Linked DNA regions of Stegostoma tigrinum. The protein of the gene in region 2 purifies or fractionates together with the protein of the main gene of each other region. This does not show direct contact. Links are inferred from orthologs where the notes say so. Each region holds a gene or a part of one and is shown on either strand. Other genes may lie near its edges.

Region 1 (7,370 bases), on a different chromosome or scaffold from region 2:
GCGGGAATGAAGCTAGTACAGGAGTTGGATGGGGGTTGGTCAAGTGTAGGTAAGGAGTTGGGAAAGTGTTAGTGTGTGCTGGTTTCTTTGGAAAATTGATATATACATATGTTTTTGTAATTCAACTGTTTCTCAATAACCTCTGCATCTATTTTGAGTATGTTTGTTTTGATAATAACTCAATCATTTGTTGCAGACTTGAAATAACTGCCCAAAGGCCAGTATACCATCACCAAGTCACACTTTATTTACATGTGCACAGTACATGAGCTCTGACCAATCAGCTCAAAGCCAATCCCTTGACTAATGAGACCTGAATCTCCTGTTGAGATCTGTCAGGCAGGGCTCCCTGAGTAGCCCAGGTTAATGGCCCCAATCAAGGATCTCATAGCCAACGTGATCCAACTGGCCCCAGTTCCAATCACTACAAGATCAAATAATTCTGATTTGCTCTTAATACTGAACCTGACACATTCCAAGAAAAATATACTTGACCAAATCACCAACTTGGTTAAATTTGAATTTTATGATGAAGTTTGGAGGAATGGGACTCGGAAGTGATCACTAAACACGTCCAACCTTAGTTATAACAACATTGTGCGACATTATGTGAGGAGAAAGAGGCTGAATGTTCTGTGTGGGGTAAGGCTGATTATCATGTGTGGATGTGATGTGCAGCTGACTACAATGTGCATGGGCAGAACAAGAGGCTGAATAAACTGTTTGGAGCGAAGATGACTATAGTGCATATGCGGGTTTAAGAGGAAAGGGGCCGATAATAGTGTGTGCTGGGGAATGGGGACAGGGCCTGATGGCAATGAGTGGTAGGGGAGAGCATGCCTAATTACAGTGGGGGGGGGGGTTCTCTGTGGGTGGGAGAATAGCTGATTGCTGTGTGAGTTAGGAAGAGAAGGGCTGCTTACTGCGTGTGTGTGTTTGGGTGGATGTGGGAAGGGGGAGAAGGGCTGTGTTTGTCAAAGTTGCTTCACAGAGCCTTCTGCCAGAGTCCAGAGAATATGGAAAGTTTTGTTGAAACTTCAGTGACCAGTAACTGTTGCATTGTATATTCTTTATCAATTCAGAAGCACATCCATTTTCCATTTTCTCCATGTTGGAAGAAGCACAGCTCCACATTTAGTTAAGTTACTTACCTTGTGAATTAAATTCATTTTGATTTACGACTGCATTGTGTGCAGCAAATTCAAACTGAATCTGCAGCATCCATGGATATTATTTTGTGTCATTTGAAATTCTCAGTGGAAAATCCAAAGTTTATCTGACTTGCTTATAATGATTGACAGTATATAACAGCATTTTCATAAAATACTTTTATAAACAGATGCTCGTATTTGTAGGATGTATAATATTTTGATGTTTAATACATAAACATTCATAGTTATATACTGAACAATGCCTTATTGCCATACATACAATACACAGACAAGTATAAAATAAAACAGAACTGAGGAAGCTGGAGATCTGAAATGAAAACAGAAATTGCGGGCAAATTTCTGCAGGTCTGCTATCATCTGTGGGGTGATAGCACACTTAATATTTTATGTCCAATGACTCTTCAGTTCCATATTCTCTGGTGGCAGAATGCTCTGTGAGGCTATTTTGACAAATACAATTCCTATCCCCCTCCCCACACCTCACCCATACACACAAAGTAACCAACCCCTTTGTTATTTTTCCCCCAACTCACACTATAATCAGCTACTGCCTCTCCCTCAGACCACTTTTCCCATTCCCATCCTCCACAGTCTTCCCCATCACTCATTGCCATCAGGCCCTCTTCCCAGCATCTGCAGTTCTTTATTTTATTTATGATTCCTTTGAATATCAGTGGTCTTTCCGGAAACGTGCAATTTGATTTCTCAATTACATTGAGGCACGTGGGATGTTCCTTGAATCCACTGGACCCCCTAATGGAATAGTTGTCAATTTTTTTTGGCGAAGGACATCTTTTGATGTGGATTAACGGTCAGTTCCCAATTAAATTGGAGTACAGTATGGCATGAAGGTACAGCCTTTAAAGAGTGTTCTATGTTTAAGAAAAAGATATTTACTTATGGATGAAGGTGAGATTGTTTCCCTTGTTTCTCATCACCAGGTCTGCCTATGCTTAATGAGATGTTTGACGATGACATTTGTTAATCATTCTCCAATTTCTATTCCACCTTGTAGAATCAGAAATCATTAAGCTACTGAGAACTGCGAAAGCCTATCCCAATAAAGGCTAACTGTGTTTCTCTCCACAGAAGACCACAGCAACTGGCTTTGCTGCGCTGTAACATTTCCAGGTGCAAGACATCAATGTACCCTCACAGCCTGTGTTGTAACTGCAGACTAGTCCATTGTCAAGACGGCTTCTTTAGACACTCGGTATTATAAAACAGACAATTTTCTATTGTCTCAGCTGTGCATCCAGTTTATTTTGCTGCCATTCAGGAGAACAGGAAAGATCTTGTGGAAAAATAATATTTAAGAAATTATCTCCTACTTTTTATTGGATGTGGGTCAATTGGTCATTATCAGCCAGTCTGACAGCATTCAAAATATTTTCACAGGAGTAGGATGCAAGCTCGAAGTGAGAAAGTCCTTGAGAGTGATGGGCTGTCATTGGTTTGCAGACAATTATCAATAATACCCCACATACTCGGAAATAGTCGCCAATAACTGAAGTGATTGTCATCAAATTGCTGCATGTTTCTAGCTGCAACTCATTTGTTTCACTGATTCCACCAAATAGTATCTCCCAGTGATCCACTCGTCCTTGTTTAAGAATGACTGTTTTATCCATCGTTAATATTTATTGTGGTATCATCTGACCTCTCTTTAAGAAAGTACACATTATCTCCGCCCACCCTCTTCCTCTTAGTATATTGTGAAAATTTTTGGTGCTATCCTTGACAAGCCTTGCAATTGATTTGCACTTCTTTTTCAATCTCTTATTTTGTATCCTTTTGATATTCTATTTCTCCCAGGCTGGGCGACAGAATGATAGAAGGTTACATGATGAAGAATTGCATCATTACTGGCTAGTCAGTTAGTTCCACCACATGGCTGTTCCTCATAGGTGGCAATTATGTTCCCACCACCACCAAAAATTATCTAATTATCTTTTGAAGACTTGACTTTGATCTGCTCGACAACACTTTGAGGCATTGCAGTCTAAGAGTCTAATCACACAAAGTGTCTTATTTAAAAAAAGCTTTTCCACATGGCACTGTTGTTACTTAACTCTCAGTTGGCACCCTTGGGTTCTCAATCCTCGTACCAGATGGTTGGAAGTTTCTACATATAAAACCATAGGACTCTGACAGAGTGGAAATCTACCCTGTCCAAATCCCTCATGAACACCTTCATCAAAGTTCCTCTCAACCTGCAGCCCCAGATTCTACAATCTATCCACTAATCTTATTCATGAAAAAATTAAAAAGAACTCTGAAAACAAAACTTGCTGGTGAAACTCAGCACGTCTGGCAGCATTCGCGAAAGACAACAGTTTTGAGTCTAGTGACCCTTCTCCAGAAAGGTCTGAAGGTTCTGAGTTCCTCCAGCAATTTCTTTTCTGCTGTGATTCCGATCTCCGAATTTTTAAAAAAAGTCTTAACGTCCCGGCTATTGGAGAGCGACGTTATTAAATGTAGCTTATGTTTTCAAAAATACCTGTATTTAAGACTGTGTTTTTATCACAGTTAAACAGTTGCAAGATATTTAAAGTTAAAACATCCAAAGGTTAGCCGAAAGATGTTTTTGGAGGGTGCGTAGCTCTCTCCGAAGTAGTCAGGATTGGTATTTGAAACATGTTCAATCTGTCCAGTCAGGAGTTCTCGCGTACTCCTGCTGTCAGAAGCGCCTTTGTACTCAACAGCGACACTGGCGGTCAGTCATAGAAGCGACGAAGGGTGGGAAAAAGAATTGCAAGCGACCGTCGCTGCTGACAGAGCAAGCGATGCAGGCGTTTATTTAACACCAGTACAATGGGTTGTCGAAGTGCATTCTTTTTGGAATGCAGTGTTCGAGGAACCACTTCTTTTCCGACGAGAACACTTTCTATTTAAAGAAAATACAAAAGGGATTTCAATCTTATAGAAGCTACTCGAAAACTTCATAAATGCACAGTTTCCAAAGGGCTATTTTGAAAACAACACGAACCGCGACGACGTCGACGACCAGTACGATCACCAACCCCACCCACCCAATCTAAAGGAGACTAAATCAACAACGAACGTAACCGTCTGCTTCGCTGCGCCAACGGATGGGTTTTGAAAAAACGACGGCGGTTATGCAAATGACCGTCCGTAATATTTACATACGCCCCGCCCACCGCCTGCTTCGGGTGCGCCGGGCGAGTGCGGCTCCCTGTTTTGCATATAGGCACCCGCGATTTGCATGTAACACCCCCGCGCTGGCTGCTGATTGGTAGCCACGTTCTTAATGGCATGTATGCGGGTGTTGTTATCTGCATATTCATCTCGCTCTCGAGATGGGGCGAGAATGAGCTGCCGCCCTTAAGTGGTGCGCGGGGAGAGCGAGCAACTCCAGTGGAGGGAGACGAAGGAGGGAGAGTAGAGATCACACTGCTGTATTACTTTATCTTCCACACACACAAAAATACATAATTACGCGCTTTGAAAAGATGTAAAAATCACGGGGGGAGGTTTTGAAGTGAGATGTACCCGGAATGCGTTTTTTGCTTAATTTGCATATGAGCGATATTTTACTAATTTGCATACACTCCACGAACGGCCGCCATTTTGTGACGGGGTGGGTGTGAGGTTATCGTGGATAAGCGGTGAAGGTTTTTAACAGGGTGGGATAAAACAAACCAAAAAAAACTCCTCATGAAACGACGCCTTAACGCATCCGAAAAGGTAAGCGATTCGTTACATTTATATGGACCTGTTTTATTTTTTCCCCAGGTGTGTCGACCGATTTTTAATTGCGGTTTTGCATTTATTTGCTCTCCCTTTCCTATGGAGCGCCTTCAACCCCTGCGGGTCGGCTCCGTGGCTGCGCCTGCGCGGCAGCAGCAGCAGCAGCACTGGAGCTGCATGGCTGCTGCACGAGTCCACCAGTGCATTGCGCATGCGTGCGGTGCTCCAGGCGGACCAGTAGACACACGCACACGCTTAAAGCCCCGGTTTTTGCGGGAGCGTCTTCCCCACTCATCTCCCTTTCCCCCTTTTTCCTACTGCTCCCTCTCTCTCTCTTTTATGAAGTGGAAACTGCGTTGGAAACTTTAGGTTAAGGTAAGATTTAATCTGGTTCTTTAAATCTCCAATTTTTAAATTTTTTAGTTTTTTTTTACTAAAACTTTGCATTTAATCATGTAGCTGATTTTTTTTGTTTTATATTTGCTCGTTTTGATTTTTCTTTTTGCTTTTGCCTGCCTCTCTCAATTCAATCTGAGGATGAGCTGAATGCAAATGAGCTTGAGCAGTATCTGCCTGCTGCATTGCTGTAGGATTTTTTTTGCTGCATGAATGTTTAGCTTCAGCAGACTGTTGCAAGTTATCACCCCACTTCTTACCTACTCTAGAATGTGTGTGAACAGGTGGTAGTTCTAATTTTGTAATTTTTGTTGCACTGTTTGATGCAATGCAATTATATCAATTGTATATTTTAAGTAATAATGTGAAATTGAGTGGGATCCAGTTTGGTGGTGTTTTTGTTTTTGAATAAATATCAAAGAAACATTCAAGCTAATAAATTTGTCGCTATCCTTGATTTATGCTGCATGTGAAAATTCTGAACAAACTGGAAATGTATGCTTGAAACACAATTTGTGCGCCTAGTTCTACTATGGGTCAACTGAGAGATGACCACTGTCATGTGATCCTTTTGTACATTTTTAACAATAAAGTCATCAATGAATTCTGTACTGATTTTGTTGATATTTGACACTGCACCTAGATTGTTAATTTTCCATTGTGTGCCCTATGACTTGGTATAGTGTGTATCTGTAATGTAGACAACACTAAACTTTGTTCTCTTCATGTCGTATTGAATATTTATGTAGCTGACATGACTTTAATCCCTGTTCAGTAAACTTTTGGCAAATCATCTACAACGGATTGGTCCTGCCCTTTCAAGTGGCAAATTCTTCCTTTTTTGATACTGTGAACAGTGATACTGGACAATAAGCTCTTTGTTTCTTTCTCAAAGCTCCTTTAGCCTTTTATGACATGTATAAAAATGATATCTCAAGTGAGATGTGGGAATGGAAGGGTTCTGCTTGTGATTTTTGTAAGGAAAACAAATAAAGTGTCTTGCTTTACGATGAAAAAGAATGAGAGCTTAGTGCTATAAACTCAACTCAAAACCAAAAGAAAATGCATAAGTATCTCCATCAGTTAGTACCTGGGGGAAAAAATGATTCTTACAGAATAAAATCTACTCTAAATAGGAATAGGCCATTTAGTCTCTTTTTAGTCTACACTGCTACTCATTAACATAATGGATGATCATCGTGCTTGACTCCACCTTCCTGTGCTGGTCACATCCTTTAAGTAGCCAAAAATAGATTGGCTTTTGTCTTGGGTATATGTGGCCGTGTTTAATGTTCAACTTTCAAATGGATTGCTGCCTGTTTTCAGATAGTAATTAGAATAATTGTTTGACACACTTTTCCTGTACTGGTTGAATGCTTTCCAAGCTGAATCGAATATTCTTCATTTCGGGTCACCTGAATGTAAATAGCTTATATCTTTGCAGGCTCTGACCGAGTGTTTCTAACTCTCTCTTTCAGTTTTCCAGCATTTGCTTTTTGACTACTCCAACCTTATTTGAAAAATGCAATTCTTAAAACACGTGTGTTTGTTAAATATACTTAAATGGTTTTTTTTTTGTATTAATCCCCGTGATAACATCAAGGTAGGTCATCACACTGAATTCAATAAATCTGGAAGTTTGTAGAATTGGCCCAGAAAACCTTGAAGACTACAGAATTGGTAAAAGCCCATCTGGCACACTAATGTGCTTTTAAACATTGTGACAATACAGAATGTTTAATTATGTAAGGAATTTCAATGTTTGTCTTCACGTTTTGAGTGTTTTTGAAATTTTTTTTAAAAATTGAACCAGTAGTAGAGGCTGAAAGAGTTGTGTAAAAAATCAACGAAATTGAACACTTCCATTGAAGGAACTTGCATAACATCTACTGCAGCACAAGACAATGCTAGATATTTGGCACATCTGTAAATATACATGCTCCGTCTTGCATCAGAAGTCCTTGATTTGTTTGGTGCCTTGCTACAATAGTGAATTTCGAAATGACATTCACATGAATTTTCTGTCTCAGTTTGGGACAAAAATAATACTACTGCTCGCAACTTTTAAAAATTTTTATTTTGAAAAAAGGC
Region 2 (7,947 bases):
CAGGTTCCTTGAGGAGGTGGCTGTAGAAATTGTGGACGCATTGGTAATTATTTTCCAAGGTTCTATAGATTCAGGATCAGTTCCTGTGGATTGGAGGGTGGCAAATGTTGTCCCACTTTTCAAGAAAGGAGGGAGAGAGAAAACAGGAAATTACAGACCGGTTAGCCGGACGTCAGTGGTGGGAAAGGTGCTGGAGTCAATTATAAAAGATGAAATTACAACTCATTTGGATAGCAGTAACAGAATAAGTCAGAGTCAGCATGGATTTACGAAGGGGAAATCATGCTTGACTAATCTTCTGGAATTTTTTGAGGATGTATCTATGAAGATGGATAAGGGAGAGCCAGTGGATGTCGTGTACCTGGACTTTCAGAAAGCCTTTGATAAAGTCCCGCATAGGAGATTGGTGAACAAAATTAGGGCACATGGTATTGGGGGCAAAATAGAGTTGGATTGAACATTGGCTGGCTGACAGGAAGCAAAGAGGAGTGATAAACGGGTCCCTTTCGGAATGGCAGGCAGTGACCAGTGGCATTCCACAAGGTTCAGTGCTGGGACCGCAGCTGTTTACGATATACATTAATGATATACACGAAGGCATTAGAAGTAATATTAGCAAATTTGTTGATGACACAAAGTTGGGTGGCAGTGTGAAATGTGAGGAGGATGTTATGAGAATACAGGGTGACTTGGACAGGCTAGGTGAGTGGACGGATGCATGGCAGATGCAGTTTAATTTGGATAAATGTGCGGTTATAAACTTTGGTGGCAAGAACCGGAAGGCAGATTACCTAACTTGACTCCATTGAGATGGTAAAGGGGAAGCAGAACGAGATCTAGGTGTTCTTGTGCATCAGTCAATGAAAGCAAGCATGCAGGTACAGCAGGCAGTGAAGAAAGCTAATAGCATGCTGGCCTTCATAACAAGAGGAATTGAGTATAGGAGCAAAGAGGTCCTTCTGCAGCTCTACAGGGCCCTGGTGAGACCGCACCTGGAGTATTGTGTGCAGTTTTGGTCTCCCAATTTGAGGAAGGACATTCTTGCTATTAACGGAGGGCAGCATAGGTTCACGAGGTCAATTCCGAGAATGGCGGGACTATCATATGTTGAAAGATTGGAGCGACTGGGCTTGCATACACTTGAGTTTAGGAGGATGAGAGGGGATCTGATTGAGACGTGGAAGATTACTAAGGGATTGGACACTGTGGAGGCAGGGAGCATGTTTCCGCTGATGGGTGAGTCCAGGACTAGAGGACGCAGTTTAAAAATAAGGGGTAGGCCATTTAGAACAAGAGTTGAGGAAAAACTTCTTCACCCAGACAGTGGTGGATATATGGAATGCTCTGCCCCAGAAGGCAGTGGAGGCCAACTCTCTGGACGCTTTCAAGAAAGAGATGGATAGAGCTCTTAAAGATAGTGGAATCAAGGGTTACGGGGGTAAGGCAGGAACAGGATACTGATTGTGGATGATCAGCCATGATCATAATGAATGGTGGTGCTGGCTCGAAGGGCCGAATGGCCTACTCCAGCACCTATTGTCTATTGTCTAACCATTGCGGCACCGAGCTGCTGCTTTCATACAGAGGTGAGAAATTTCTTCACTGATAATGTGGCAGAATTTTCTATGATTTGAGACTGTGGAGTCACTGAATGTATTTAAGGCAAAGAAGTTTCTTCGAGACAATAAGTGACAAAGGAAATAGGAAGGGACAATTGAACAGGCTTGCTGGGTCAGATATAACCACTCAAGCTCCTATTTCAACATTTCCCAGGGCAGAATCTGTTTAGTCAGGCCCAAAAACTAGTGAATGCACCACAATAACAGGTGGATCTGAAATGGCCTAGCTTGAAACTAAAATTGGTGGCTCGAGACCACCCAGTGGCATGGTGCTCATATGGGCAGCACGGTGGCTCAGTGGTTAGCACTGCTGCCTCACGGTGCCAGGGAACCAGGTTCGATTCCAACATCGGGCGACTGTCTGTGCGGAGTTTGCACGTTCTCCCCGTGTCTGCGTGGGGTTTCCTCCGGGCGCTCCAGCTCCCTCCCACAGGTCCAAAGACGTGCAGTTTAGGGTGGATTGGCCGTGCTAAATTGCCCATAGTGCCTGGGGAAGTTTAGGTGACATAAGTTAGACATGGGAGATGCAGGGCAGGGGATTGGGTCTAGGTGGGATGCTCTTTGGAGGGGCAGTGTGGACTTGTTGGCCTGAATGGTCTGTTTCCACACTGTAGGGATCCTAAGATTCTTACACATTCTGACCTTTTTCTCAGGAATTGGGTTATTCACAGGCAATATTACATAGGGCTGATTCCTCGAGCCACAGTAGAGGGGGGTGGGGGGATTTGGTGAAAGGGAGGATTTGGGGGAAAAAGGGGAAACAAAAAAGAGACAGAGAGAGAGAGGGAAAGAAAGAGACAGACAGACACAGAGAGAGAGAGAGAGAGAGAGAGAGAGAGAGAGAGAGAGAGAGAGAGAGAGAGAGAGAGAGAGAGAGAGAGAGAGAGAGAGAGAGAGAGAGAGAAAAAGGGGGAGCCAGGAACTACAATCCCCAGCATGCTCCGCGGGGTCAACGCGCATACTCACGCGCGGTGCAGCAGCGCACGGCCCTTTCGCGCAGCCGCACTACTCCAGTGGACGGCTCTCCGAGGCAATTTTGAAAAAAAAGTGAAAGAAAAAAAATGGGAAGATTAAAGGCTCCGGGAGGCAGAAACACCCGGCCGCAGTGCGGGAACGTGGAGTCTAAAGAAGACGACGAGCGAACCTCCGCACCAACCTGCAGGAGACAAACAATAAGAAAACAATCCGAGCATCTCACCTTCTCCTGCAGCCGTGAGGCTGGGCCTAGCGCCTAACCACTAGGCCGCGGCTTCTCTAAATTTCTTTAACAGGCTCGCTCGCTCTGTGTGACTTTGCAAATTGCGGTGGAAAGGCTACATGGTTTTAATTGAAGTGCATCACCGTTCCGCCGCCTCCCAGGCCCCCGAGTGAAAGGATGTTTTGAAAAGACGGCTGCTGGTGAGTCGCCCAAACACGCCGGGCTGCGACCCACCTTGAACGGGGATTGGCCAACGTCGCTGCCGGCCAACCGGATTGACGGGGACCGCGGCCAATCGGTGCCGGCCCCGCCCCCCACGGTCCGCGAGTGACGGGCACGCGGCCCAATTGAATGAGGCCCCACCCCCGCAGCGTCTGATTGACCGATGTCTAGATGAGTCAAATGGGGTCCAGCCTCCTCTCCTCCTGATCGACGGTGGTCTTGTCCAATGCGATGAGGACCCACCCACATGGGCATCGAAATGCTGGAGTCTTGACCAATCGCATGTGGTCCCACCTTATCAGCCGCGATCGACATGGAAGCAGCCAATCGAGCGGTTGTCTTCCCAGACGGAGAACGCCACTGGACTCCCGCGCATACCAACCCGTTTATCGACGTCCTCCCCTGCCAATGGGAAGATGGAAGGGTAACAGTCACCGCCGATTATGCCGCCCATTTGTAATTGACGTTTCGCTCGCCCAACCATCTCCAAGCCCCTCCGTAATGATTGGCAATTCTTCCTGATCGACTGATAAGCCGGCCAATCGGCTTTTGGAACATTTGCAGTCCCGCCCATCCAGCTCAATAATAGGACCTTCTACCAATGGATGGGCAGAGACATGGGCTGGCCAGTGACAATGGTCACCCTGTTGTGGAGTGGGGTAGAAGTTTGGAAGGGCCGAATGGCCATCTGCATGAACCAGCAGGTGGTCCACACCCAGCTATTTTCAGTGCAGCAAAACCTCTGACCTCGCTCGGCTAGATCATCGATTCCCAGGCTCTGATCACAGAGACAAGGCCTTTCTTCACGTAATTGGGACCTCCAGCTCCAGTTGGCGACGGTGAGTCTGGGCACCGAGTGGGGCAGCTGGAGCAGTCAAACCAATCATGGATTTCCTCAACCAAACCTCAAGCACGTGCTTAATTCTTCAAACTACGCCAATTTTCTGGCTTAGCCTCACGTTTGTAACGATAAATGCAACCAACGTCATCAAAGACGCCAAGATAACAAGGTGTGGAGCTGGATGAACACAGCAGGCCAAGCAGCATCTTAGGAGCAGGAGAGCTGATGTTTCATCAGAGACCCTCCATCCCCCTCTCTGAGAAGGGTCTAGGCCTGAAACGTCAGCTTTTGTGCTCCTAAGATGCTGCTTGGCCTGCTGTGTTCATCCAGCTCCACACTTTGTTATCTCAGATTCTCCAGCATCTGCAGTTCCCATAATCTCTGATACACTCCTGACCTGTGCCTTGGAGAAGGTTGACAGACTTTGGGGAATCAGGAAGTGTGTTACTCACCGCAGTAACACTTCTGGCCTGCTGTTGTAGCCATTGTGTTTATGTAGTCAGTCCAGTTGAGTTTCTGATCAATCATAGTGGGGGATTCAGTGTTGGAAACACCATTGAATGTCAAGGGACAATTGTCTGTTATTGGTGATGGTCATAGCCTGGCATTTGGCTGGCATGAACGTTACTTGCCACTTGTCAGCCCAAGCCTGGATATTGTCCAAATCTTGTTGGATTTGAACATGGCCTGCTTCAGTACCTGAGGAGTCACGAGTGGTGCTGAACATTGTGCAATCATCGGCGAACATCCCCACTTCTGACCTTATGATGGAGGGAAGGCCGTTGATGAAACAGCTGAAGATGGTTGGGCTGAGGACACTACCCTGAGGAACTCCTGCAGAGGTGTCCTGGAGCTGAGATGACTGACCTCCCACAACCACGACCATCTTCCTATGTGTCACCTAAGACTCCAAACACTGGAGAGTTTGCCCCTGATACCCATTGATTCCAGTTCTAGGGCTCCTTGATGCCACACTCAGTCGAATGCAGCCTTGATGTCAAGGGCTGTCACTCTCACCTCACCTCTGCGATTCAGCTCTTTGGTCCATGTTTGAACCGAGGATGTAATGGGGTCAGAAGCTGAGTGGCCCTGGCGAAACCCAAACTGGATGTCACTGAGCAGGTTACTGCTGAGCATGTACTGTTTGATAGCGCTGTTACTGACACCTTCCATCACTTTCATGATGATCGAGACTGATGGGGCAGTAAAGGGCCAGGCTGGATTGGTCCTGCTCTTTGTGTCCAGGACATACTTGGGCAATTTTCCACATTGCCAGGTAGATGCCAGGGTTGTAGCTGCACTGGAACAGCTTGGGTAGGGGAGCGGCAAGTTCTGGAGCACAAGTCTTCAGTCCTATTGCCGGAATGCTCTCCGGGCCTGTGGCCTTTGCAGTATCCAGTGTCTCCAACCGTTTCTTGACATCGCGTGGAGTGAATCGAATTGGCTGAAGACTGGTATCCGTGACACTGGGGACCACTGCAGGAGGCCGAGATAGATCGGCACTTCTGGCTGAAGATTGCTGCGAAAGCTCCAGCCTTACTTTTTGCACTGATGTGCTGGGCTCTTCCATCATTGAGGACGGGGATATTTGCAGAGCCCCATCCCTCGGTGAGTTGTTTAATTGACCCCCACCATTCGCCACTGGATGTGGCAGGACTGCAGAGCTTAGACCTGATCTGTTGGCTGTGGGATCGCTAGGCTGTGTCTCTCACTTGCTGCTTTCGCTGTTTGGTGTGCAAGTAGTCCTGTCTGGTGGCTTCACCAGATTGATCCCTCACCTTCAGGTCTGCCTGGTGCTGCTCCTGGCATACCCTCCTGCACTCTCCTTTGAACCAGGGTCGATCCCCTGGCTTGATGGTAATGGTTGGGTGGGGGATACACCAGGTTGTGAGGTTACAGATTGTGCAGGAGTACAATTCTGCTGCTGTTGATGGCCCACAGCGTCTCAGGGATGCCGAGTCCTGATTTGCGAGATCTGTGTGAAGTCTGTCCCATTGAGCACGGGGATAGTGCCACACACACAATGGAGGTTATTCTCAATGTGAAGGCGGGACTCTGTCTCCACAAGGACTGTGAGATGGTCACTCTTACCGATACTGTCATGGGCAGATGCCTCTGCAGCTGGCAGATTGGTAAGGATGAGGTCAAATATGTGTTTCCCCTCTTGTTGGTTCCCTCACCACCTGCTGCAGACCCAGCCTAGCAGCTGTGTCCTTTAGGACCCGACCAGCCCGATCAGTAGGACAGCTGCCGAGCCTCTCTTGGTGGTGGACAGTGAAGTCCCCCACCCAGAGTACATTTTGTGCCCTTGCCATCCTCAGTGCTTCCTCTAAGTGATATTCAACATGGAGGGCGTACCGATTCATCAACTGGGGGAGGACGGTATGTGGTAACCAGCAGGAGGTTCCCTTGCCCGTGTTAAACCTGAAGCCATGAGACTTCATGTCGTCCGGAGTCAATGTCGAGGACTCCCAGAGCAACTGCCTCCCAACTGTATCCCACTGTGCGGCCCCCTCTGCTGGGTCTGTTCTGCCGGGTGGCGGACAGGACATACCCAGGGATGGTGATGGTGGTGTCTGGGACAGTGTCTGTAAGGTGTGATTCTGTGAATGTGACTATGTCAGACGGTTGCTTGACTAGTCTGTGAGACAGCCCTCCCAGTGTTGGCACTAACCCCCAGATGTTAGTGAGGAGGGCTTCGCAGGGTCGACAGGGCTGTTTCTGCCATTTTCCTTTACAGTGCCATGCCAGGTGATCCGACCAGTTTCATTTCGTTGAGACTTTGTAGCGATTGGTAGAGCTGATTGGCTTGCTTGGCCATTTCAGAGGGCAACTGGGAGTCAACCATAGTGCTGTAGGTCTGGAGTCACATGTAGGCCAGACCAGGTAAGGAGGGCAGATTCCCTTCCCTGAAGGACATCAGTGAACCAGATGGGATTTTCCGACATTCAGCCACAGATTTACGGTCTTCGGTAGCTCTTAATTGCAGATTTTGTTTTGATTGAATTCAAATTCCACCATCTGCCGTCGTGGGATTCGAACCTGGATCCCCTGAACATCACCTCGGTCTCTTGGATTAATAGTCTAGCAATAACACCACGAGGGCAGAAGATACAAAAGCTTAAATACACATACTAACAGATTCAAGGAGGGCTTTCTCCCTGCTGTTATCAGACTTCTAAGTGGACCTCCCAAAATTCAAATGTTGATCTCGCTCTTTGTGCACCTCCTCTGTAACCACTACATCGTATATCTCACCCTGATCTGTCACCCGATGATCATTGTGTGGTATGATCTGCCTGTGCTGCTCGCAAAACACAACTTTTCACTGTGCCTAGGTACAAGCGACAACAATAAATCAATCCAAATCAGATCTGATGCCCTTGGGATAAAGAATCCTGCTTCATGCCCCTTCAGCTACTCACAATAATTGAATTGAATCATTTATTGTCAAATATATTCAAACAAAATACAGTGCTCTTCACATCAGCTTAAAAAAGGGGAAGGAAACTTGGTGACCCGGTGTCTCAGTGGTTAGCGCTGCTGCTTCACGGCGCCAGGGACCTGCGTTCGATTCCACCCTCGGGCGACTGTCTGTGTGGAGTTTGCACATTCTCCCCGTGTCTGCGTGGGTTTCCTCCGGGTGCTCCGGTTTCCTCCCACAGTCCAAAGGTGTGCAGGTTAGGGTGGGTTGGCCATGCTAAATTGTCCCGTAGTGCCCAGGGATGTGCGGGTTAGGGTGGATTGGACGTGCTAAATTGTCCCGTAGTGCCCAGGGATGTGCGGGTTAGGGTGGATTGGCCGTGCTAAATTGTCCCATAGTGCCCAGGGATGTGTGGGTTAGGGGTGGATTGGCCGTGCTAAATTGTCCCATAGTGCCCAGGGATGTGCGGGTTAGGGGTGGATTGCCCGTGCTAAATTGTCTCGTAGTGCCCAGGGATGTGTGGGTTAGGGTGGATTGGCCGTGCTAAATTGTCCCGTAGTGCCCAGGGATGTGTGGGTTAGGGTGGATTGGCCATGCTAAATTGTCCCGTAGTGCCCAGGGATGTGCGGGTTAGGGTGGATTG

The links.
Region 1: the proteins of setdb1b (region 2) and activating transcription factor 7-interacting protein 1-like purify together in Homo sapiens (affinity purification with mass spectrometry; 6 studies listed by BioGRID and IntAct, counting the BioPlex papers as one, with this or other methods). This does not show direct contact. The link is inferred for Stegostoma tigrinum from reciprocal best matches to the Homo sapiens genes SETDB1 and ATF7IP.

Annotation. Positions count from the first base shown.
Region 1 is NC_081391.1:8,934,989-8,942,358, forward strand, and holds the start of activating transcription factor 7-interacting protein 1-like, read left to right. Parts: upstream 1-4,338; 5' UTR 4,339-4,880; intron 4,881-7,370. UniProt on the Homo sapiens protein: Recruiter that couples transcriptional factors to general transcription apparatus and thereby modulates transcription regulation and chromatin formation. Can both act as an activator or a repressor depending on the context.
Region 2 is NC_081400.1:5,506,684-5,514,630, reverse strand, and holds the start of setdb1b (histone-lysine N-methyltransferase SETDB1-B), read right to left. Parts: upstream 3,056-7,947; 5' UTR 2,818-3,055; intron 1-2,817. UniProt on the Homo sapiens protein: Histone methyltransferase that specifically trimethylates 'Lys-9' of histone H3. H3 'Lys-9' trimethylation represents a specific tag for epigenetic transcriptional repression by recruiting HP1 (CBX1, CBX3 and/or CBX5) proteins to methylated histones.